Linked DNA regions of Zea mays. Each later gene encodes a partner of the first gene's protein in a complex. Links are inferred from orthologs where the notes say so. Each region holds a gene or a part of one and is shown on either strand. Other genes may lie near its edges. The genes, in order: Transcription initiation factor TFIID subunit 5, transcription initiation factor TFIID subunit 1, transcription initiation factor TFIID subunit 10 and Transcription initiation factor TFIID subunit 6.

The links.
Region 2: Transcription initiation factor TFIID subunit 5 (region 1) and transcription initiation factor TFIID subunit 1 share a complex: the UniProt entries of both Arabidopsis thaliana proteins name them as parts of the TFIID complex. The link is inferred for Zea mays from reciprocal best matches to the Arabidopsis thaliana genes TAF5 and HAF01.
Region 3: Transcription initiation factor TFIID subunit 5 (region 1) and transcription initiation factor TFIID subunit 10 share a complex: the UniProt entries of both Arabidopsis thaliana proteins name them as parts of the TFIID complex. The link is inferred for Zea mays from reciprocal best matches to the Arabidopsis thaliana genes TAF5 and TAFII15.
Region 4: Transcription initiation factor TFIID subunit 5 (region 1) and Transcription initiation factor TFIID subunit 6 share a complex: the UniProt entries of both Arabidopsis thaliana proteins name them as parts of the TFIID complex. The link is inferred for Zea mays from reciprocal best matches to the Arabidopsis thaliana genes TAF5 and TAFII59.

Annotation. Positions count from the first base shown.
Region 1 is NC_050104.1:108,587,165-108,592,274, reverse strand, and holds the end of Transcription initiation factor TFIID subunit 5, read right to left. Parts: intron 2,593-5,110; coding exon 2,497-2,592; intron 2,398-2,496; coding exon 2,322-2,397; intron 2,231-2,321; coding exon 2,174-2,230; 3' UTR 1,933-2,173; downstream 1-1,932. UniProt on the Arabidopsis thaliana protein: TAFs are components of the transcription factor IID (TFIID) complex that is essential for mediating regulation of RNA polymerase transcription.
Region 2 is NC_050104.1:98,683,131-98,689,422, forward strand, and holds the start of transcription initiation factor TFIID subunit 1, read left to right. Parts: upstream 1-2,505; 5' UTR 2,506-3,534; coding exon 3,535-3,586; intron 3,587-4,319; coding exon 4,320-4,432; intron 4,433-5,043; coding exon 5,044-5,106; intron 5,107-5,188; coding exon 5,189-5,231; intron 5,232-5,386; coding exon 5,387-5,638; intron 5,639-6,292. Other genes in the region: calcium-transporting ATPase 5, plasma membrane-type, read right to left, coding at 730-891, 969-1,014, 1,121-1,200. UniProt on the Arabidopsis thaliana protein: TAFs are components of the transcription factor IID (TFIID) complex that is essential for mediating regulation of RNA polymerase transcription. Core scaffold of the TFIID complex.
Region 3 is NC_050102.1:124,192,842-124,199,100, reverse strand, and holds the start of transcription initiation factor TFIID subunit 10, read left to right. Parts: upstream 1-2,393; 5' UTR 2,394-2,496; exon of another isoform or gene 2,497-2,617; 5' UTR 2,618-2,635; coding exon 2,636-2,779; intron 2,780-2,862; coding exon 2,863-2,927; intron 2,928-3,064; coding exon 3,065-3,127; exon of another isoform or gene 3,128-5,044; intron 5,045-5,212; coding exon 5,213-5,270; intron 5,271-5,375; coding exon 5,376-5,426; intron 5,427-6,259. UniProt on the Arabidopsis thaliana protein: TAFs are components of the transcription factor IID (TFIID) complex that is essential for mediating regulation of RNA polymerase transcription.
Region 4 is NC_050104.1:148,194,726-148,200,870, forward strand, and holds the start of Transcription initiation factor TFIID subunit 6, read left to right. Parts: upstream 1-2,284; 5' UTR 2,285-2,509; coding exon 2,510-2,635; intron 2,636-4,190; coding exon 4,191-4,277; intron 4,278-4,865; coding exon 4,866-4,967; intron 4,968-5,058; coding exon 5,059-5,167; intron 5,168-5,287; coding exon 5,288-5,394; intron 5,395-5,479; coding exon 5,480-5,617; intron 5,618-5,695; coding exon 5,696-5,791; intron 5,792-5,908; coding exon 5,909-6,033; intron 6,034-6,145. UniProt on the Arabidopsis thaliana protein: TAFs are components of the transcription factor IID (TFIID) complex that is essential for mediating regulation of RNA polymerase transcription. Required for proper pollen function. May stabilize the interaction of TFIID with selected promoters.

The DNA.
Region 1 (5,110 bases):
CACAATTAAATGAGGAGTCTCTTGAGTGATTTCTAGGAGGCTAAGTGAAAACAAATTAAGAGACAGGCTTTTCACCAAGAGCATCTCTCTACATGACTCTCTATACATATTTGGCGTGTTTGGTTGTCCGTGCGTGCTTAGCCGAGTTGTCTCTACATGACTCTATATAGATATTCGACGTGTTTGGTTGTCCGTGCGCGCTTAGCCGGATTATCTGTGTTTGATAGCCTGTATGCGGAGTGCATGGGCTGCATCCGAGGGTGCAGAGCAAGCTAAAAAAGTCCCTTTAGCTGCATGGGTGGGGAAGCTCGGGACGAGCGTATCTAGTGGCTCAAGCTCGCGTGAGCCATGTTCAGCCTATGCACCGAACCAATCAGTGCCATTACGTCTTAACTGCATTTATTATCTAGAGACTCAGAGCTGTATCATGCAGTCTCTAAGCTATCTCTTGTATTTGGAAAATCGGTCAAGGGCTTAGGGTTAGGGATGTTCCTAAAACATCCGACTTAGGGCTTGTTCGGTTATTCCCAAAACACATGGATTGGATGGGATTGGAAAAAAATGAGAAGAGGTTTGACTTGTTTGGATTTCAAACCCATCCAATCCCACTCAATCCACATGGATTGAGAGCTAACCGAACAAGCCCTTATATGACAAATATAATATTTTAACATAGATATACATAAAATTTAAAGTTATTTTTGACAATATTATTAAGAATATTATGAAGTGTTTAAATAAATTTTTGTATACTTTTTTATGCACGTTATTTTCTCCATACAACCAACAAAAAGGTGAAAAAACATCTGAATCCGTATTCGGATAGACATTCGAATTTTATATCAATTATTTAAAAAGATATAGAACAAATTTAATATTTATTTTTTTGAATATTAATAGCATCAATGCTAAAAACAAGAATATAAATTTACATAGCAAATTCTATATATTATTTGTTCATAATTGTAGAAAGAAGACCAAGAAATTGACATCCGAATAAATATCCGGATCCATCCCTATTGTATATGTCCTAATCTGATGTCTATGCACTCATGAGGCAAACACACATTCACACCCTATCAAATTTACTCTAACTTAGCCACTGACAGTCGATCAGTCTCGTTCCCCTACCTAGATGGTTATATGGTGTAGGATCACCTGTTCTCTACGGTATAAATCAAGTTTTCAGCTTATTTTTTGTATAGTAGCTAATAGCATAATTTTGCTTAAAAATATATTATAATTTTTTATAATTCTTTTGAAAGCTTTAGGATAATAACTTTCATTGTCTAAAACTAAATTTAAAATAATAATAATAATAAAAAATTAATTTTAACATAAGTTACGATATCATCAATCACCTCAAAATATGAACTTTTATTTAACTGGTACGTAGAGAACAGAAAAAAAACAAAATTTCCCTTGACATGATTTTTTTACGTTCCTCCATTTATAAGCTAAATTTAAGGTTTATATTTTTTGAGTTGATTGAGAATATTATAATTTATGTTAGAACAATATGTTAAGATTTTTTTAACATTATTTTATATTTAGTTTATCTTATCTAATGACTAAACTATCAAAATAATTATAAAAATGATAATACATTTTCTAGACTAAATTATGCTATTAGCCATTAACCAATAAAATTTAAACTGAAAACACAGTTTATACATAAAGAAATAAAGAAATGAAAAGTCAAATTTTATTATGGGATAAATTAAACCAACTTGAGAGGTAAAATAAACTAAAAATATTTTAGGAAGTTATAAGAACATTGTCCACGGAAACAATTTAGACTTTTTCTAAATAAATGGTCACGGAATATTCCTCCCCATGATCCCCTCGAATTACCTGGTCACTAAACCAAACTCCAGACCTGATAGACCATTGCATTCACGCTATCGCCTGTCAGCACTTGTACATTTAGTTGCGTTCATAAGGTCACAACCTAAAAAACAATTTTACAGAACGTAATTACCTAATAATATTGTTACAATATCACAACCCGCTACAACGAATCTGCGGTGCTCAATTCGGCAGTACATGCTGAGTTCGTTGGAATTGCTAATGAAAATATTAGCTGTACAATAGGCAGTCTCTGAAATGCCAGCTTCACTACTCAATGTCAAAACAGGACCAGTTCTAGTTTTCTGCAAAAAAAAAACACAGCTTACGACGAGCTTAGCGAGAGAGCACCAGAGGCAAATAGAAGGTTCCTCCGAGAAAACTGCAGAAGTCAAAAATCCGCAAATTCGTCAGTTCTCACCACATAGTACCCCCAAAAAAATGATGCTGAAAATAAAGGAGAAATTTCTCACCCGCAGGCTATAAACAGGAGTTGATTTTGTAGGGAGAGCTTTAAGCAGTCTCAGTCGGTTAGCTGAGCTGCCTTTGCTGTTTCAGAAAAAAAAAAGACAAGTGTGTTTTGCAGTCAAGAGCAAGAGAATCAAGTGTATACTCGAATGGATGAGAATCTTATCATGTCAAACTTACGTATCCTCTGTCTTCAGGGTTTTTGTGCTAGAAGCGACATCCCAGAGCTTTACAGTACAGTCAGCCGATCCCGATGCAAGCAATGCTCCTTCACAGCTAAAACAACAGGAGGATATATTAGCCTATAGCATATTTCACGAAATCATATAATTAAGTAAATCCCTCAAATTACAAGTATATGCAGTTCAAACTTGTGTCGCAGAACAACGCACATCGTGAACAGTCACAGGAAGAAATAATATACTCCCCCGTCGCAAAAAGAGTGCAGTTGTCCAGATTCAAAGCTAGAATTGCACTCTTTTGTGGAGGGAGTATATTTGACGTCTTACATTACGAACTCGTTTGGGACTCTCGAAACCCGCGGGTTTCCCAGCCAAAACCCAGCTTCTCCATGCCCCGTGTAACACAACACTCCTGTGGCTGCGTCGACGTTTGGAAATTGGAAGTCCATTGGAAGGGAAGCGTGACCCCGGTTCGGAATGGTTTTCACGGGCAGGAAAAACACGCGTCAGAAGGTCGGGCACGCAACCACCGTCTTGCCTCGTCTCGTCCGCTCTCCGCCTCCCTGTCTCGCCTCGTCCTCCTCCGGATCCCGCCGCCGCCTTCACCCACCGCCGACGCAGGGTCTCAGCTCGTCCCCCTTCAGATCCAGCAGCCGCTTCACCCACCGCCGACGCAGCACCCCGTCTCGCCTCGTCTCGTCCGCTCCCTGTCTCCGTGTCTCACTTCATCCTCCTCTAGATCCAGCTGTCGCCTTCACCTTGTAGGGTGAGTTAATTTCGCAGAGTCAGAGTTGTGGCATGTTATCTTATTTTATTGATTGATCTTCATTTTTCATTAATTTGATGCCAATTTTCTGTGCATATCTACAGGGAAGGAAGCCATCTAGAAGAAGCCGCTAGCCATGTCTCATGAACTGCATTCTCCTGTGTCTGAACCCCAGTCTCTTGTATCTGCTTCTTGTCAGCATTCTCTGTTTTTAGAAAACTGGTTCTACTGAAACATTTGGACAATCTGCTTGTAGTGTTCTTCTATTTATACATTAAATTGGACAGTTTGTTTGCCTTTGGTGCATAAACCAAACGTTTGGCATATGTGTTAACTTGTTCTGCTTGTGTTACCTGTTTGTTTAGAGAATTGAAGTGGACAGTCTGTTCGGCAGTTTCCAAATAGCCACAGGGTGCCCAAACCCCACCGGGCAGCATCAGACGGGGATTTTTTTTTTTTTGCAGGTTTGTCCCAGCGGTGCTAAATGACCAGGGTAGCCTGTTACCGTATTTCCCAAACGAGGCCTACAACTTAAACAAAAGTGGAAACCGGCACAAAAAGAAAAAGGGGCAACCTGCACTAGTGTTCAACCTTTACATGCTATATATTCCACTGGTATGGGTTGCTACCTTGCAGTAAATCAATGACTGCATTGTTATTATCACAGGTTCTCCCCCAGAAGAAGGTGCATTGCTGCTAGTGTTTGAAGGACTTGCCTGTTAGGGCTAGTTTGGGAGTCCAAAAACAGGAGGGGATTAGAGAGGCTAAAATCTCCTCCAAGGGGATTTTAGCCCCTCCAATCCCCTCCGGTTTGGTGGCTCCCAAACTAGCTCTTAGTGTAACAGTAATATCATGTGTCAGTATGTTGCAGAAGATGAAATTTTGTACTGCTTCTCAAAATTCATGGTATATTGCTGTTGTAACTTGTAAGACAAGAAATTATCTTTTTTTGGAAAGCACGGGAGAGTTGTGTTTCTGTTAAACTGTGTGTGTGGGTGGTGAGTGGGGGGGGGGGGGGGGGGGCACCACTGTTGGGCTGCCGGCCCATTAGGGTTAGGGTTGTGAGTCTATATATTGTACCCTATCTCCTATCAATATATCGAGTACTTCATATTCCTACATGGTATCAGAGGATTAGGGTTTCACTTTCACCTAGCCACCACCCACCCCCACAGCCGCCAGCCAGCTGCCCAGGTCCAGCCTGCCTCTGGCTTCTGCGCCGCCGCCCCGGGAGGTTCCTCCCCTCCGGGGGCGGCTCCCTTCCCAGCCGCCAGCCAACCCTCTCCCCTAGCCGGCCCTGCCCCTCCCTCTCCTCGTCGGCGCCCCAGACCAGCTCTGCCCCAGCCGCTGACGCCTCCTGCTCCCAGGCCATCGGCCCTTCTCCCTTGTTCAGCAGCCGTCGACGCCACAGTGGGAAAGCCACGCCCGGCCGACCCCCTTCCCCTTCCCATCTGGCCAGTTCGGCCCGCCCCGCGCCCGCACACACTACGACTTGTGGCAACGGCGGCCACAACCCTTCACCGCGCTGTCGTGGCCCCTCTGGCGGCGCAGCAGCCCCTCCCCGCCAACGCACACACTACGACTTGCCGCCAGCAGATGTTATAAAACTCAAAAAAAAACTTCTTGTTTTTCCTCCTGAGAAGTGACAACCTGGTCACCATCTTTAAGTATTGTGATTGTATTTATTCTTTTACGGAAAGCAGCTTGCTTATGAAAGAAAGAGGTGTTCCCATCCCCATCTTTTAAGAACCTGATTCTGGCCCTTAATCTTGCAATGGTTCTTTCAAAAGATGCAAGTCTGAGACAGTTTTTTCAGCTCATTTCTCAACCATGCTTCATCATGGGT
Region 2 (6,292 bases), about 9.9 Mb from region 1:
GCCAAAGACGAGAGCAACTTTATAACCATGGACAGAGGTGATACCAATGGAGAGAATCTATATCGTCTGTTACCTGAAATACTGTCGTTATACCGATTATTCCCATGAACAGGTGATTCTTCGTGACCCCTTTGAAGACATTCTTTTCCTCGGGTTTTCGTGCATTGAACTCATTGAAGATCTGGCATAAAAAACACACCCAAGTTAACTCAAACCTTCGTTCCAGATCTACATGGAGTTAACACGGGCCATAAATCATCAAAATAATCTATATTTTCATAGCAAATTCACTCTGGTATGGTTCAACTTCGTACAAGCAAGACAACAGGTTAATATATGGTCAGTCAAGGGCCTAGATTCTAGGAGGTTAAAGCTGGCCACATTAAATTACTGGAACAAACCAAAATGCAAAGAAAAATAGTGAGTCACTGAAAATTGACCAAAAACAGACCAAGTGAAGCGCATATAACCAGCTTCCACATAACTTATGCCATACCTGAAATTCGACTATGGTAAAGCAATGAATAGCTTATAACGAGTCCTTACGTGAAGAAAAATATCCATGTAGTATCAATGCTAGGGTACACATTAGTCCCTTTTGGGGGAAAACTACTATCAATTTATAGTCAACTTAATATTGATTCTTTTCTTTTGGGAACAATCCAATGTCAGTATGTATTTGTCTAAAAGGTGAAGCAAGATTCGTCCACTAATGTTCTGTTATGATTCTTAAATTATTGAAGAACAAATACTCCACTGGCAAAATACAAATGTGTTGAAGATGAAAGTATTTGTTACCTTCTCAGCATCAGATCGGCTTTCATTCTGCAGACGCAGAATCCTTACTCCATCAAAATCGAAAATCAGAAGAATTGCTACTTGGTAAAGGGCCTGTGTAAAATTCCAAACATATCAGAACAACAAAGAGTTTTTAACAGAATCCAATTGTATAATGAAGGAATACTAACCTGAACAAACAAGTTTCTCCACATGATATTTGTAACAAGAGGTTCCCTGCAGTAGAAAAGTATGGGTAAAAATGTTTCCAAATTCAAAAAGCATAGTATATAGGTATTGGACACAATGTTGTCAACAAGAAATTTTGGATCATTTGACATGCCTTCGACCAACAGGATTTCTCTTCATAAGGTTGTCTGTTGGAGGCTCGGTTGCTAATGCAAGAGCTCCAAGTGTGTCCATTATGAGGTTCACCCACAGAAGCTGAAAAGTGAAAGAAGTATATGATACTGATGAGAAACAGCCTGGAAATACATGTGTCTCAGGTAAAATGTTGTGTCCAGCTATTAAATGCACTCGGCTACTCCACTGTACTACTGGAGTAGTACGCTGGTAGGACAGGAGCAGGAGCGGGACCTCACACCGCACCTGGAGCTGGAGGCTGGAGGAGGAAGAAGGGGCACGCTCACTCATCACAAGTCACAGCCACACCACACATGAGCTGTGGCATTAATGGATCATCATCAGAGGAGGAGGGGAAGTAAGCGGTCCGGGTCCCAGCCCTCCTCTGAAACGAACCAAACAACCTAGACCAGGTAGGAGGAAGATGGAGATTCATGGAAAAGGGAGAAAAGGTAGCAAAGGATCGGCTCATCTCCTCTCCTCTCCTCTGACCCTGTCCAACTGTCCCGGTCCCTGTTCATGCTAGCTCTGGCTGCGTCTGCTAGTATAGGAGAGCAAAATACAATCCAATCCAATTCTATGCAGTAAGCGCTACCTACAAGCTCACCTTCACGTACATGGGCCCAGCTCCGGACGCGGCCTCCTCCGTCGGCGCCTTGCTCCTGGAGGCGCTCGCAGCGGCGAGGGGACCTCTCCAACCACCTGCGCTCTGCACGGATCGAGAGCGCACTGCATCGGTCACCCGCCCCGGCGGGGTCCAGCGGCCTGCGAAGATATCGAGGTCCGGCGGGAATAGGGACTCGACGGCGAGGTCGGGAGGAGGAGCGCGACGCGGGGGCCTGCTGCTGCGCCGCCATCTTTGCCTCCGGCGTCACCGTTGTCGTCATGGAGCCCGCGGGCTCGGTCACCTCGAGGTCGTAAGCCGCAAGGCCAGAGGCGAACCTCCGTGTGGCGGTGGCCGGTGTAGATGGCGCGATGGCTACACAAGTGCGGATGATCGAGGGAGGAGGGCGCCCCCTATCCTTATCTAGGTAGAGGTTGCGGAGGGCGGCTGCCGCGGCGGCGGGGATCACGGCGGGCGGTAGGGGATTGCGGAGGGCGGTTGGGGATTGCGGCGGGCGGGCGTGGGGGAGGCGGGGGGCCCCTATCCTTATCTAGGCAGAGGTTGCGGAGGGCGGCTGCCGCGGCGGCGGGGATCACGGCGGGCGGTAGGGGATTGCGGAGGGCGGTTGGGGATTGCGGAGGGCGGGCGTGGGGGAGGCGGGGGCAGTCTACATTAGGCTCTTAATAGTTGTAGAGATTTCTTTTATACGTTTATGGGCTACCGCGCCTTATTTTACTGGGATAGTCGACCCGATTGCTCGTGCTCGTTCTCCGTTATGGGCCGCAAATTCTTTTCGGCCCGGCCTGGCCCGCCTCTCGGCGCCCGGCACGCGCCGGCGCCGCAGTCGGCGCCCCAGCCCCTCCCTGCCCTCCGCTTTGCTCTCCATCTAGCCCCCACGACCCTCCTCTCCGCTCGTCCGCCACCGCCACCGCCACCGCCACCGCCGCGCCGCTTCTCGTCGTCGCCAGAAACGAAGCAGGGCTCCGCGCTACCCCGCTGATCTTGCGCTTGAAGATCAATCAGTCCGTTGACGCAGTTCTCTACGTGCAGGGGCGGAGGGCCCATTATCCATCTGGCCCAAGCGCCTCGCCCTTTCTCCACGACTTCAACCCAGGCAGCCTCCGCCCCGTCACCCGCCGCCGCGGTCACAGACCTCTGCCGTCGACCCACGGACCGCGGTCCGGCTCCAGCCTCCACCCGCCCGCCGTCCTCCTCCGTCGCGACCCGCGGACCGCGGTCCGGCTCCAGCCTCCACCCGCCCGCCCACCGCCCACCGGCTTCCGGCCTCCGCCCGCCGTGGGCGGCCTCTGCCCTCAGCCCACCTGGCCATCTCCGCATCCGGCCCCCGGCCTCCGGTCTCCAGTCGCCCCCGGCTTCTGGTCTCTGCCCCCGCAGTGGTCGTGCCCCACTGGGCTGAGGAGGAACAGCTTCCGGTTCCTGGTGCTGATCTTGAACGGCGCGGCGCTCAGGTCGGAGGAGGCGTTGCCGGCGAGACTGAGGTCGCAGAAGGAGCCATACCAAAAAAAATCGTCCTCCGCTACTGCCTACGTGACAAAAAATCCTGCGGAGACCTGGCAGAAGTCGCCCGGTCTCCCCCGCCTCTGGCTTGGCCTCGCCATTTACGCTACACCTTGAGATTTTTATTCACTCCATCCAATCTGGCCCTGCGTTTCTAGATTTTGCGAGGGAAGACGCCAATTAGGAGCCTGAGGGTGCGACGGCCTAGGGTTTGTAGCTACTGGTGTCGTCGCGGCCTGTGGAGGCGGTAGGGGACAGCGACATCTGCAGCCATGGACGACAGCGAGCTCCATGAAGAGGAGAACCCAACCAATAGTGCCGTAGGTGAGCTTGACGATGCCCAGGACTTCATCACAACCAGTTATGCTTTTGGTTTGGTGTTGGTGCAAGTGCCGATGTCGGGCCGATTAGGGTTGTCAAATAGCTGGGCTCTGATGTGTTGGGTGTGCTATGTTAGCTAGTGTATTTGCTGGGCTTTGTGCACGGATCTGTGGTGCCTGTTTACAAATGGGATTTGATAAGCCGATGGCATGCTGTTTGGTGCTATATAGGATTAAATGTTCTTTTTTTATGTGTGGAAAATTTTAGTTGCTGGAGCTACAGGTAGCACCCATGTAAGATGAGGTGGTTAGCATGCTGATCTGCTATGGGCTTGTAATTGTGAAGTTGCAACCTTTAGAGTCAGGCTTTGAGAACCATAAAACTGCAAAATGGTTTTGAGTATGAAGATGATCCTCTGCAGGGTTAATGGTTCCATGATGGTCTTCTGTATTTTATGTGACGTGTTGAAATTAATTTGATGAAATGTTGGTTGAAACTAGCATTGCGATTCTCCGATGCTGCATTTTAATAATACTGAAAACATGTAACCCTCTGTTTGGGAATGCATTATGTCATCATTAACCCTCAGATTCTTAGTTATCTTAACAATTTCCTGAGGTCACTCCAAAACTGGACTCATTTGAAGCTAAGTGCAATTGATTGATTGAAACTAGCAATGAGTTTGTTTGAATAACCCCATCTTACTTATTAGTTATTACTGTTGTCATCCTTACAGATGACGATGACGACGAGGATTATGAGGAGCCTGGTGGAGGAAATCACTTATTGGGGTTTATGTTCGGCAATGTAGATGATTCTGGTGATTTAGATGCTGACTATCTTGATGAGGTAGACACTTCTTTATCTGTTTTTGTTGACATGCAAATGTCCTGTTTTTTGTTGTTTTTATTATTTTATTTCATGTGTCTGTCTCTAGGAGATGACATTCATTTTATTCGTTTCACCTTTTCAATTGTGTGGATGTCTGATATCTGTATCTGTTTTTGATCTTAGTGCATTCTCAATTGGTCATGATTTTATACAGATTTAACTTCTTTGTTGGTTCTCTTTTTCTTAACATTTTGATCCTTAGACTTGTGTTTTAGGGTGCTCGGTTGCTTTATAGGAACCATCATCACTATAAGAACCATATTCCTCTGATTAAATTAATTTAATTTGAGTTCTGGAAATGATGAGATAGGGAAATTCAATGCGACGAAACCAAATTTCTCAGTCCATGCATTGTAATTTTCTCGTAATTTGGATGTTTTTTGAATAATAGTTAGTAGAACTCACTAAATTTTAGCCAGAATAAAGGTTAGTTGCTAAACCTTAGGGTACTTTGGTTTTATTGTTTTTCCATTGTCTGCAGGAAACAAAGTCATTGTTTATTGTTTAGTTATGTTTATAATGCAATTTGGATGTTGCATTTATTTATACTTTTATTTTGCTTAACTCAGGATGCAAAGGAACACCTTTTTGCACTGGCAGATAAGCTTGGTCCATCTCTCAAAGACATTGACGTAAGTTATCTTATGCGTATAGTTAATCTTACTTATCTATTTCATTACCAAACAAGTTAATACTATGTTGTTTGCTAATTAGCTAATGAAGTCTTCTCCAGCACCAACTGATCCTTCCGAACAAGGTTAGTGACATATTACTGTTTCCATATAAGCTGCACCTACAGTTTTGAGAGTTATTCATCAAGCCAACTTTGCCATTGCTTAGGAAGACCTTATTCTTCTTTTTCGTGTCAAACTATGCACATAATTGATAACACATCTTTTTGTTGTTATGTAGACTATGATGAGAAGGCAGAAGATGCTGTTGATTATGAAGATATTGATGAAGAATATGATGGACCTGAAGTTGAGGCAACTACAGAGGAAGACAATGTGTTGTCAAAAAAGGATTACTTCTCTTCATCTACAGTGTATGCATCAGTCAACAGTACAGTTTCAGTGTTTGACGATGAAAACTACGATGAGGAAGAAGAACCACCCAATGATAATGAGCCTCCTGGTGATAGTGCTGCCCAAAATTTATCTTCAGGTGATACTGGATAATGTGCCTAATGTTTTCAAGTTCCATTTATGTTAGCATTCATCCTATTTTTCTTACTACTTTATCGTTTCCATGCTGCCCCTTTTATTTGTTCCTTCTATCTAGTGATTAAACATTTGTAGCTTGGCACCTCCGTTTTGGTCTGCAACTGTATTTGTCTTTATATTTGCATGTCCAACCTCCCTTCTGCTGGCTTGGGCAAGCGTTGATGGTAGCGATGAAGTCTGTTCCAGTCTAACTCTAATAAAATGAACTGAAGACTTGACCATCTTTTTTTCACCTTTTTCTATTGTGATCATAGACTCTAGTTTGGCGTAAACTTCTGTTATGATCGCTAGATCAGTGAGGGATTGGAGAGGGTATCGATGGGTAGGAACGTCGGCCGGGGGCCTCTGCCCACGGCCTAGCAAGAGGAGGGTTTCTCCCTTCTAATTCTTGCTTAATTTATTTCTCATCCATTGATTACATAAATAGGCCAGCTGGCCGCCCCTATCTAGCTAGAGATCCTTATCTCCTTAAAACTCTCCTAAAAACTCTCAACAAACTACTAACTGATAACCTTCCTAGATAATCTCAACTAATCTTCTAATCTTATCTCTAACTATCCTTATCTAATCCCCCTTGGAGGGCCCATGGTTGCTG
Region 3 (6,259 bases), on another chromosome or scaffold:
CACCCCCTCTTAGGCGTCACCGTTAAATTGTAAGTATTATTACTCTTTTCTAGTGTTAAATTGGTCTAGAATTAACTAGTAATTGATTATATTGTTTTCTATATATGTATATGGTTTTAATGGCTCGCGAGCTAAACGATCTAGCTCGAACTTGTAAACGAGCCAAGTTGAGTTGGTTGTGTGACTCGATTCCTTAACAAGCTAAGCCGAGTCGAACCGTTTTGACTCTAGGCGTGTGTTTGGCTAGCGGGTTGATGTGGGTTGGAACGAGTTCAACCTACAACAATCAGCGTTTGGTTCAAAAGGCTCATGGGTTAGGTTGGTTCTGGGTCGAAATACTTCTTGAAAATGCAGGTTCTAGGGATCCTCAAAAACAAGCGAACAACTTCGACTCACTTCCTCTCCACCCTCCTGTCACCCATGCATTATCCACTCGAGACCAGCACAGGGGTGCGCCACCACTATCATCCTTCTGGGATGAGGGACCCCTGCTGGCCTACCCTCCGACGTTAATTCCCCGCGTGCCTCCCGTAATCAGTCCCTCACTAGTAGAGATGGCAATGGGTAAAAACCCAATGGGTATTACTTGCCCAAACCCATACCCGCGAAGAAAAAATACGCCCGCTAAAAAACCCATACCCATGACGGGTATAAAATTTTGCCCAAACCCATACCCATGCGGGTTTCGGGTACCCAACGAGTTTTCCATACCCACTAACATCAACATAAAAAATAATTCATCTTGTAAATGACAATTAATACATTAATAAGCTAGCATAAGAGGAACAAGTGATAACTAATTTTAGCCTAAAATTTGTTACATGAAGTTTATTTCAATTAGAACATATTCAATTAATAATATTATGAGTCATATTTATAAAGAATGTTGATTTTATGGCGGGTTTTAGAAACCCATGGGTTTGCGGGTATGGGTAGTGGAAGAACAAACCCATGCCCACGTACCCGTTGGGTTTCCATTTGAACCCATTAATAAACCCATGGGTAGAGAAATTGACCCAAACCCATACCTTAATAGAGCAAAAACCCACCGGGTTTCGGGTAACGGGTACCCATTGCCATCTCTACTCACTAGCCTGCCCTCTAGCGTGCTGGCCTCCGTCAGCGTCGTCAGACTCCCCCGCTGGCCTGCTGTGTCTCCCACCATCAGTCCCCCGCCGGCCTGTCCTCCGGTGCCAGCGTGTTCTCCAGCAAGCATAGCCCGCGAGCCTTACTAGTGCTGTCGTCGAACAAGTAAATTGGTTGCTAAGCCTGATAATGAGCTGCCAAGTCATCTATTTGACATGCTGAATCAAATGCCTAGTTTCAATTCTACACATATATCTTTCTACTATGCTCATCTGGTGGCCAATCCTCACATCGGCAAAGCTTTCTACAACCGACTATTTGAGCACAAATTACATTAGATCACAATGTTCATCGCTGAGAAATTCTCTGAAATGTAACTGAGTTGATGGTGAGAAGTAACTTTTGTTAGTTTGTAATAGTTAGTGATGGTGAGAAGTAGCTTTTGTTAGACTGAAATGCAACAATGAGTTGAACTTGATCACTGAAATGCAACTATTAGTTGAACTTGATTACTGAAATGCATCTTGATGTTGTTGTGATGTTCCTTTTATTATGACTGAAATGTAACAATGAGACCTCATCACTCAAAATTTATGACTTGGTTAATAAGGGCTTTAATTTATGTATATCTTGTGCTTATGGATCTCTCAAATACTAAAATAGTGCCAGTTTCATTTATTTTGAATGTTATCATCTCATTTAGAATTGAAGATATAATCCCGAGTGTGGTAATATGACCAGGAAGGTGATCATATTCAGTTCATCCCTCATCACGAAACCAAACAAGAGATGATGCAGCTCCAATCCACTTTAACCTTGTAATCAAATAAGAAACTAGGTTTGACCTGTCAATGAAACCAAAGAAGGAACGAGTCCGATCCAATCCAGAAAAATGGATCAGCTTCGACCCGACCCACATCGTTTCGAAACCAAACACATGCTAGGATTCTTCTTCAACCTTTCCTCCGAAACCAAACACATGCTAGATTCTTCTTCAACCTTTCCTCTACCCTGCCTCACGAGTGAGAAAATTGGATTTCATGCTTTAAATAATTTGTTTCTCACTTTTTCTGTTTGTAATATTGACTTTATAAAAATAAGACTCATTTACATTTGGGTTTAATAATATTTTGGATATTTTTGTTCTTCTATACCATTCTGTGTATTGCATCTGTACGTATTCATGCGAGGATAAAAACGTCTAAAATAACATTAAAAACAAGTGTGATACGTTTTGATTTTACGAAATCAATGTTATGAATGGCAAAAAAAAAAAAAGATGAAGCGAAACATATGCTTTGGAGTCCAAAAATCTAATTTTTTCTGGGAAAAGTGCGAGCACATTGTTTGTTTGGAGAAATCCAATTTTCTACTCACGGACGCCGCCCCTGTGCCTCGCCATCGCCTCAGGTACGCAAGGCGGCCGAACACGAGCGCCCGCCTTCGTTCTTGCCTGCGCTGCCCCTCTCCTCGCCGTTTATTCGGGCTCCTACCTCTTGTTACAACTTGCGCGGTGGGGGCAGTGAGGCAGCAAGACGTGAGGTCCAGGATGATGAACAACAACAGTGGCGGCGGTGCCGGAGGCCCTGGAGGGGGCATGGGTACGGGAGTGGGTGGAGGGGGGGACGGGCGGCACGACGACGAGGCTGCGCTCACCGAGTTCCTCTCATCCCTCATGGACTACACCCCCACGGTATGGTGCCGCCGCTTCCCTCTCGCCTTCTCTACTTTTCTGTCAGCGGCTTAACCCTGATGCTTGGTTCGGTGGCGCGTAAGATTCCCGACGAGCTGGTGGAGCACTACCTCGGCCGCAGCGGGTTCCACTGCCCCGACCTGCGCCTGTGAGTGCTCGTCTTCTTTCCAATCTCTCTTCCTGATGGATAATAGTAAGCTGAGATCTGATCAGTGCCATGGATTAAAGTTAATAACACAAATTGCTTGATTTCTTGCACACATAATCTGAATTCGTGTTTTACAGAACGAGACTGGTTGCTGTAGCCACCCAGAAGTTCCTATCAGACATTGCTAGCGATTCTCTTCAGTGAGTAAATTCATAGTCTCGTTATTGCAAAGTAAAGGATTCTCTTCTTAATTTCAATGATGATAGCATATTCATGAATGAAACAGTATCATTCTTTTATTCCATGGGAATGCAAATCTTCTGTGCAATACTGCAATTCCATGTTTTTGTCTGGTTGAACAAGTTTGTTAGGCTTCAATCAAAATCCCTCCCTAATTGCATGTACTTGTGAAATTATTCATCGAGACATGGTTATGTTTATTAGGCTTCAATCAAAATCCCTCCCCAATGAAATTATTCATTGAGACATGGTTTTTAAGGTGCCGCTTACGTGATATGGCTCGCTGGAAATCTAGGCATCCCTATCGCCATGATCAAATATAAATATAGAGACAGAGGGGGGGGAGGGCATCTAGGTCAAGAACCCGAGCTGCTGCCATCCCTGCTGGATCCAACACCAGTGGCTGGCACAGAACTTGCTCCGGTCAGCTGTGACACAGTCAATCTGGAAGGTGACGGCAGTGGTGGTCAATTTGAGAGCACAGATAAGTGAGGAAAGCGGAAAAAGTGGGAGGAAGGAGAAGTTTCAGGCAGTGGTAGGCGCATCTGGATAGAAAGGGAGAGGAGGGAGTATGCTGGATATGTGGGGGTGACCATGTATATGCGCACTGGAGCCATTGATACAGGAAGGGAAGGAGAGGCTAAAGAAAGGAAGAGCATGAAGAGAACCAGGCAAGGCTGCACCTGCACCTGCACCTGCCCTCGCCCATCTCTGTTGGCTCCGGCGCCTGTGGTCTTGCAGATCTTCACTGGTCAACTGTATAGCTCGATCTGAAGGGGGCAGCACCAGTGCACAATCTGCATGAGTAGAGCTCTATTTCAAAAGGGGTGGCGTTGGCCCTCAATCTGGGAGGTGTGCTCTTGGGGCAGCCAGGCTTGTCGTTGCTCAAAGACGGCATTGGAAAGGACTGATGTAAACAGGCAAACAGCATCAAGTGAGGAATTGGTGGATTAGGGATTGAGGGGAGAGTGTAGGGTGTTGCTTTATGGGCTGTTGGGTTAATTGGGTTCTAATGAGTTAGTGGGGTGGCTGCTAATAGTTAATGTGGCCCATCGATGCTTGTATTTACCTCTTATTCTACATTATATATCTTACTACATATTTTATGTTCCATATCATTTACTTTTTCAAAAAATGAAACATATCCCTATATTGAGTAACTGTGTAACATGCAATTATCTTCAAAGTTTTTTAAAAAACATACAAGATACACTTACAAAGTGTATGCCTGATTTTGCGGAGATTCTGTAATTATATTACTTGTATAGGAGTGTATGAAAAACAGCTATCCATGTGCCTAAACCTGTATGGTTTCAACTCTAGCCTATCCCAACTTACTTGAGACTAAAAGGCTTTGTTGTTGTTATTTGTAATTATATTACCAATGGCTCATTCTTTATGTGGTCTGACTAATCAAGTGATGAATAACTAAAGCATACTAAAATTAGGAAACAGGTCAATTAGGGTTTTTTTGGTATCATCATCATCATGAGTTACGAATTAAAAGCATACCTAATTAACTGAAGGATACCTAATCAATCATCATGATAGGCTCATGTATCACATCATGTGCCTTAGCAAGGTGCGATTTGAGGTTGTAGTGGCAGCAGGCTAGCGCCTGCTGGAGAGGCTCCTAGTTTGACACGACCTGAAATGCACATTCTGCAGTCAGCAATCTGGCAATCACATTTAGCCTAGACAGCTATGGCAACTGAGCTGCAGGAATTGCTAAATGACTAGAACAGGTGCCAAGCTGATTATTTACCAGGGTCCAGGGGAGGGGGTCTTAATAACCCTGAAAGGCATTGTGATTTACAAAGCCCGTGGAAAAACAGATCCATTGTGCGGGGAGGATGGGATCTTTCGGATTATATTGCGTAAGTTTGCCAGGGTCTTATTTTGTTGGTTTTTTTTGTCAGTGTATGATGTGCTCTACTGTTCACTATATAACAAACTATTTTAACATTTTCTTAGCGATATGTATTATACACACTGTATTTGTGTGTACTAACTTTGCTGTTACATTATTCTTTCCCTTGAACTAGGCACTGCAAGGCCAGGGTAGCAGCACCTATCAAAGACAATAAGAGCAAACAGCCGAAGGTGTATTTACTCACTAGTTGAACTTTTCGTGTTCCTAGCGTTAAATCTTGTTTAGTATCCTTACTGATTACTTATCACATTTTTCCTAAAAAATGTTACTTTCAGGATAGACGTCTTGTATTAACCATGGATGATCTTTCTAAAGCTTTGCGCGAGGTAACTACGTTTCCATTTAGTTCTGCAGTTTGCAAATTTTTATTTTTGTTGGCAGCAGCTTACCATTTACTATCTTCTGTATTCCAACCAGTTGGGTAGATCTGTTTTCTTAAAATCAGTCAGGAGCACATTGTTTGGTTTAGACACTGTTTTTTCAGGACTTGAAATTGAATCTCCCCACTGTTTTCTTAAACTTACACAGTTATGTAGATCCAGTTTGATATGCTCTTGCTCCTCACAAATTTCCAAAAATTCATAAGGAAAACCACCTGTTAGCGGCAGTTAAGAACAGAGCACACGAATAAAAACTTGACAATGGAGGATAGATATTTAAGCAAATAGCATGTGCTGCACAGTAGATTTTAAGGCGATGACTAATATGCAATCAGTCATTATATGCAAGCGAGCTTTCTGGCCCGTTAGGTCATGATCCAACCGTATATATAACTGTGGTTTGTTTTACACACACACGAGCTGGTCTTGGAAGGATTTAAGTGTTAAATGTGACATACGGTTGAATCATGATCTAACAGACCAAGATGCTTACTTGCACATTAGGTCTGATTGCATATTAGTGATCGCCAGATCATAATGATGATTGAGTTCCTTTAGACTAGATATATGATCCATTCCAGCAACCCAATGGCAGTGCGCCAGTGCCCATATGACCTGTATCTTTTTGCAAGAGTGAGGCACACACCATCCGATATTGTGCATGGACCTAAATATACAAGGTCATATGGAGATCAGACTAGTGTGGTTTTCTTTGCCTGTACTGGTTAAACCTTATAACTGTCAACCTTACTGTCGTTGTAGTAAGAAAGAAAAGTGGG
Region 4 (6,145 bases), about 40 Mb from region 1:
CATCCATGTAAACACCAAATTTACGAGGGCGAAAACCCTGACTCAAACAAACCATTTTGTATGCAGCAATACGTTGATTAGAAGCATTCAAGAAAGTAATAGCAGTTCTAAAATCATTAAGATAAGGTTTCAAGCGCTTCAAACTAGATTTAACAATAAGATTAATAATGTGGCAAGCACATCTTTGATGCAAAAATATAGAGTTCAAACCATCACCATCATCTAAGTCAAGTATATCATTGCAGGCAAAGTCAAGGTAACCAGTAAACATAGGTTGAAGAAGAGACATAGTAGTTTTGTTTGAAGAAGCATTGTCCAAGGTAATTGCAAACATTTTATTTACTATTCCATAATCATCTACTACCATAGAAATATGTTCAGCAATATTAGAACCAGTATGTGCAGACTCAATAGGCCTAAGACCCAGTAGTCGTTTTTCCAAACCCCAATTAGAATTCACATAATGGGCAACAACGCTAATATAATCTTCTTTGGCTTTACCAGACCAAATATCAGAAGTTAGTGCCACAGATGAAACTGAAGACTTCAAAGTTTCAATTAGTCCCTCCATTCGACCATTGTAATGTTTAATTAAATCTCTAGCAATTGTTTGCCTAGACGACTTAACAAATCTGGGGTTATGCGCATGGGTAATATACTCATGGAAAGCATCAGACTCAGCAAAACATAAAGGCAGATCCTCTCTAGCTATCAATCGACACATTTCAGTTCGTGCAACCAATGTAGAATACTCCCAACGTTGGACAGACCCATCAGGATTAAATTTAAGGACTGACTGAACTATGCCTGCTCGGTCATGTTCAATTTTAGCTTTACAATGTTCTTGGTGCCTAAGTAAGTGTCCAGTACCAGATGAAGATTTAGCAGACAAGGTACATTTGCAGTGTTTGCAAATAGCAGAGATCCTTACCTTCTTACCTTTGTCGTCGATCCCAGTTACTTCCTCGAAGTCAGCCCAAACCCTAGATGTCGCTAGCCTCTTCCTCGGCCAGTTGTCATGGGCAGTGCTACCACCAGTGGCAGTGGGGCTCGAGGAGGCAGTCACAGGCACCGCATCAACATCTACGGGATCAACATTGCTGCCAGTGGCAGTGCCAATCCCAAACAAGGCCAACTCATCCAAACGCTCGTTGTGATCCTCAAGCTCACGCTCCGTCGCCTCGGCGTCCGGATCAAGATCCATGGAGATGGAGGGATACTTGATCGTCTCCTCAACGACGTCACCGGTTCCTCAACGACCTTCAAATCGTAGAAATAAAATACAAAATATCAAAATCAAGAGCACAATGGTAGTAGATCTAGGAAAATAGAACTTCACCTGAGTGGCCGGAGCACCGGAGTCGTCGACGAGGGGCAACCAGAGGGGCAGAGCTGATGTTGTTTGAGGTCAAGGAGGATTGGATGAGTGTAGGCAGAGCAGATCAGAACAAAGAAGCGAGACGGAGAGCCGGAGAGGCACGCACAGTCGCACAGATTCGGGGAGGCACAAACCCTAAGCGAAGAAGCGAGACGGAGAGGGCGAGAGGAAACAAGAGATCTAAGAACAAATCGCAAGAGCACCGAAAAGTCACCGACGACCAACACTCACCAGTTTAGGTTTAGGGTTAGGAGAAGCCGAGAAGTAGTCGAACTTACAGACAGGGGCTATGTCGGCTCACCGGAGCAAGAGGAACACGACGGTCGACGGCCGACGAGCACAAAGCACGGATCCACGGAGCCACCGGAGCGTCCACAAAGGAGATCCAGAGAGGGCGAGTCCGCGAGTGTGACGGAGAAGGCGAGGGCCGACCGAGAGAGGAGACGGAAATGTGGAAGACTGGAATGTGCGGCAGTGGGTAACGGGGAGTCGGAGACGGGGATAGATATTTTGATGTGAGGCCGGGTCTAGAATGGGCCGAATGCTTAAACGGGCCGTGCTCGGGCTCAGCACGACGTGCCCCGACTCAGGCCCAAGCACGGCCTGGGTGTCGTGCCAGGCCGGCCCGAGCCCGTCGTATACCGTGCCGTGTACGGGTCGGGCCTAACCCGCGCCGTGCTTGGGGCTGCCCGTTAGGCCCGACCGGTTTGGACATGTATACCTTTGCCTTGTCGCGCTTGCAGCTTGCTCGTCTCCGGCGCCCGCGCGAGCTCTTCTTCCTTTCCGACGCCAGCGCGGTATCCTCGTCGTCGCCAGTGCGCGAGCGTCTCCTCCTCCTCCTTGCGGCCTCCCGCGCCTCCGCCCCCCCCCCCCCCCCCCCCCCCCCCCCCCCCCCACCCACACACACACATCCGGGAGAAGAGTAGTGGATGCGGAGCGTCTCCTGTAAGCGGTCTCCCAAACGCCACGCTTGTACTCACTTTGTTTCTAATAAAAAATTGCTGTGGTGGAGGCCATAGATTCCAAGTGGTGGTTTAGAGAAGTCCCAAACATACCCTTTGTTTGGGGAGAAGAATCGAGAGGGAGATAGCTAAACTAGGGTTAAGGGAATTAGGGGCCGAGAGGAGCGCAATGAGCATCGTGCCCAAGGAGACGATCGAGGTCATCGCTCAGAGCGTCGGCATCCCCAGCCTCGGTGCCGATGTCGCCGTCGCGCTCGCCCCTGACGTCGAATACCGCCTCCGCGAGATCATGCAGGTCAGGCCTCGCCCCCCTTGCCTAGGTTACTTTTTGATTCCGGCGCTATTTTTCATGAATTGGGAGGGTTGATTTCCGTGCCGTCGCCCTAGGGTTGTCCTTGGAATTGTAGCAGTGGCGGTGAATTTGGTTGGCTAAGCATCTCCAGCGACCTATAAAAATGTCAATTAATTTAAAATTGAGTATATTTTATAGAATTTAGGGCTTCAATAAAACTTTCTGTTCCAATAGTAAAACCTTCAATCTAGATTACAAGGCAACTCATTACGGTGTAGTATACCCGAGGCACTTGAGAGGGTGTCTTATAATTTATTGACTAAATTTTATAAAATGAGACACTGTTAGAGTAGTTTTTCCTGTGTAGAGCCCCACATTTCAATTTGAGACACCAATTTAAGGCATTGTTGGAGATGCTTTGAGCATCTCCAACAACGTGACCTATAAAAATACCCTAAATTTTAAAGTAAGTATATTTTATAGAATTTAGAGTACCAACAAAACATTCCGCTCCAACAGTAAAGCCTCAAATCTAGATTATAGGGCAGTCCACTACGGTGTAGTATATTTGAGGCACTCGAGAGGGTGCACTATAATTTTTTTGACCAAATTTTATAAAATGAGGCACTGCCGGAGTAGTTTTTCCTGCGTAGAGCCTCATATTTCAATTTGAGGCACCAGTTTGAGGCATTGTTGGAGATGCTCAAGCGATAATTTTTTTTGTACATCTGAGCTAAGTGCAGGCTGTGTGCTTCGGCCAAATTAATGACTCTATGCGATCAGCATTATTTAATTTTCCGGGATACTAAGAGTCTGGGCTGGAATTGCCCCCTGTTTTCCGTAGCTTCTCAGCGAGATTGCTTGCATTCTCACCATCTTCCCAACCAAGTACATGCCATTTGTTTGGATTCATCTCCCGACAAGGGCGAAGCTAGCTAAGAACGTTACCGGTCTCATCGCCATTAGAGTATAGGATCATGTAACTATAAAGCAGTATATTATAATGTTTCTCTATTGGTTTTACAAAATCCATCGGTGTCAGATGACACCAACAAATGCCCCTAGCTCCGCCACTGTCTCCCGAGCAACTGTATGAAATCAGTATCTTTAGTTCTAGGGTGTGCTTGTTTATGATGTGGAATGGAATTTTGAGGGCTGCATGGTGGGATGAACTTGCCAAGTGAGATGTTGTTTGTTTTTCCACTGGCACAACTGGTGAAGTCATTTTTTTATTTTCTTTCTACTGGTAATTCGAGTTATGCTGCTTAATTTGTTGAGTCTATACAATTCTTTCCCTTTAGGGATGTAGAACTTAGTTGGATCTCAAAATTTTGTCGAAGTACTAGTGGGGTTTGATAACAGAAGAGTGTCCTATGGCCTGATATTTCATTATCTAGTGTTTTCATAATTCACTTCTTTGTGGATACTGTCTGTTCCCTTTTTGCCACTTGCGCTAATTTATGCTAAGCTTATAATCATGCAAGTCTTCATGAAACCTTGCAGTTTTACTACCTCAATTGCCATTCTGATGATCCCATTTTATGTGTTTTTGCCTCAGGAATCCATTAAATGTATGCGGCATGCAAAGCGGACTGTTCTGACGGCGGATGATGTTGACAGTGCCCTGGGCCTCAGGAATGTTGAGGTGAATTACCTTTCTATGCTATTTTTTTGGATACTTGCAACATATGTTTGTAGGTCTACTATGCACTTGTGAATTGTTAGCTAATAAATTTAAGATCCTTTTTTCGTTGTATTGTTTTTCCGAATCATGTTTAGAACTTCAAAAGCGTGTAACTACATTACTACAATCCACTTTTAGATTTCGACAAGTGTCTTCATGGTATGTAAATGGTATTCAACTTACACCTTCCACTTGCATATTTGGTTCAGTAAACAATCGAACAAGTAGTTTTTGAATGATGCTTCCATATATTTGTAATCTTGAAATTTCATTTCAGAAATCTTTAGGAAAAATGGTTTTGCTTTACTGGTACATATTTGTTTTTACTACAGTTGTAATATTGGTTCCTCAGTTCATAGATGTAGTTTTCTTACTAGAATTTTCTCAGCATGTAGAGCTGTTTGATTAGCTTCTGTTTTTGTGAAACTGCCTTCCTTATGCAATTTTTGTCATACTTTTATATTGAAGTGTCTAACTCCTCTGCTACACTTTATTTTGTTTGAACTGACCCTGCTGTTTCATTACCATGGTCCATGGGTTCTCAATCAGCCCGTATATGGATTTGCCTCTGGTGATCCATTACGTTTTAAGAGAGCTGTTGGACATAAGGATCTCTTCTATCTTGATGATCGGGAGGTAGACTTCAAAGAGGTAGTGGCATTATTAATGATTATTAAATTTTCGTACCACTTATTTCAAAACCATTCATTTGAAATGTTTCTTCCTGGTTCGTGTCATGCAGATTATTGACTGTCCTCTGCCTAAAGCCCCACTGGACACATCAGTTGTAGCCCATTGGCTAGCGATTGAGGGGGTACAGCCTGCAATACCGGAGAATCCTGCTATTGACGGTCTGCCCTTTTTGTCCAGAGATTTATAGTCATTACTTTTCTCCTTAGCAAGATGTAGTCACATTCTTCTCCAATATTGAGAGAAAAATACTTGTTGTGCCAATTATCATTTTATTTCAGCAATTGTACCACCAACTGAAAATAAAAGGTCTGAGCATGGGAAAGATGATGGACTTCCAGCTGATGTCAAGCTTCCTGTTAAGCATGTATTATCTAGAGAACTACAGGTACTTTGATTATGATACCGTGCATTGTATATTACGCATATATTTTCAAGAAACTTATATGTCTATTCACTGTTTGGTTTTGCAGATGTACTTTGATAAAATAGCTGAACTTACTATGAGTAGATCTGATACGTCCCTTTTTAAAGAAGCTTTAGTGAGCTTGGCAAAAGATTCTGGTCTTCATCCTTTAGTTCCTTACTTTTCCTACTTCATTGCAGACGAGGTTGTACAGTAGCTTTCTTGCTTTTGGTGGGTTTCTTTTTATATGACATTACTTAGTGTGTATCCATTTGAATTTCAGGTTACCCGGAGTTTGGGTGATCTTCCTGTTTTACTTGCTCTAATGAGAGTAGTCCAAAGTCTTCTCCGTAATCCACATATTCATATTGAACCTTATGTAAGTAGTAAACCATAAGGTTTTGATAGTTCATGTGCGCGACTTATTTTTTTGCCATTTTATATATTCTTTTCGCCGTATTAGTACTAAATTAGCAGCATTTGTCTTGATCTGTAGTTGCACCAGCTGATGCCATCAATGATCACTTGCATTGTTGCGAAAAGGCTAGGGCATAGGCTCTCAGATAACCACTGGGAACTTAGGGACTTCTCTGCCAATTTGGTTGCCTTGGTATGTCAGAGGTGAGTGATATGTGAAGGGTGTCAGTAAATCTTTGTATAATTATCAAAATTTAATTCAATTGCATTTGTGATTTCAATTCCTTGATTCTCATATTATGACCTTAAAGAACAG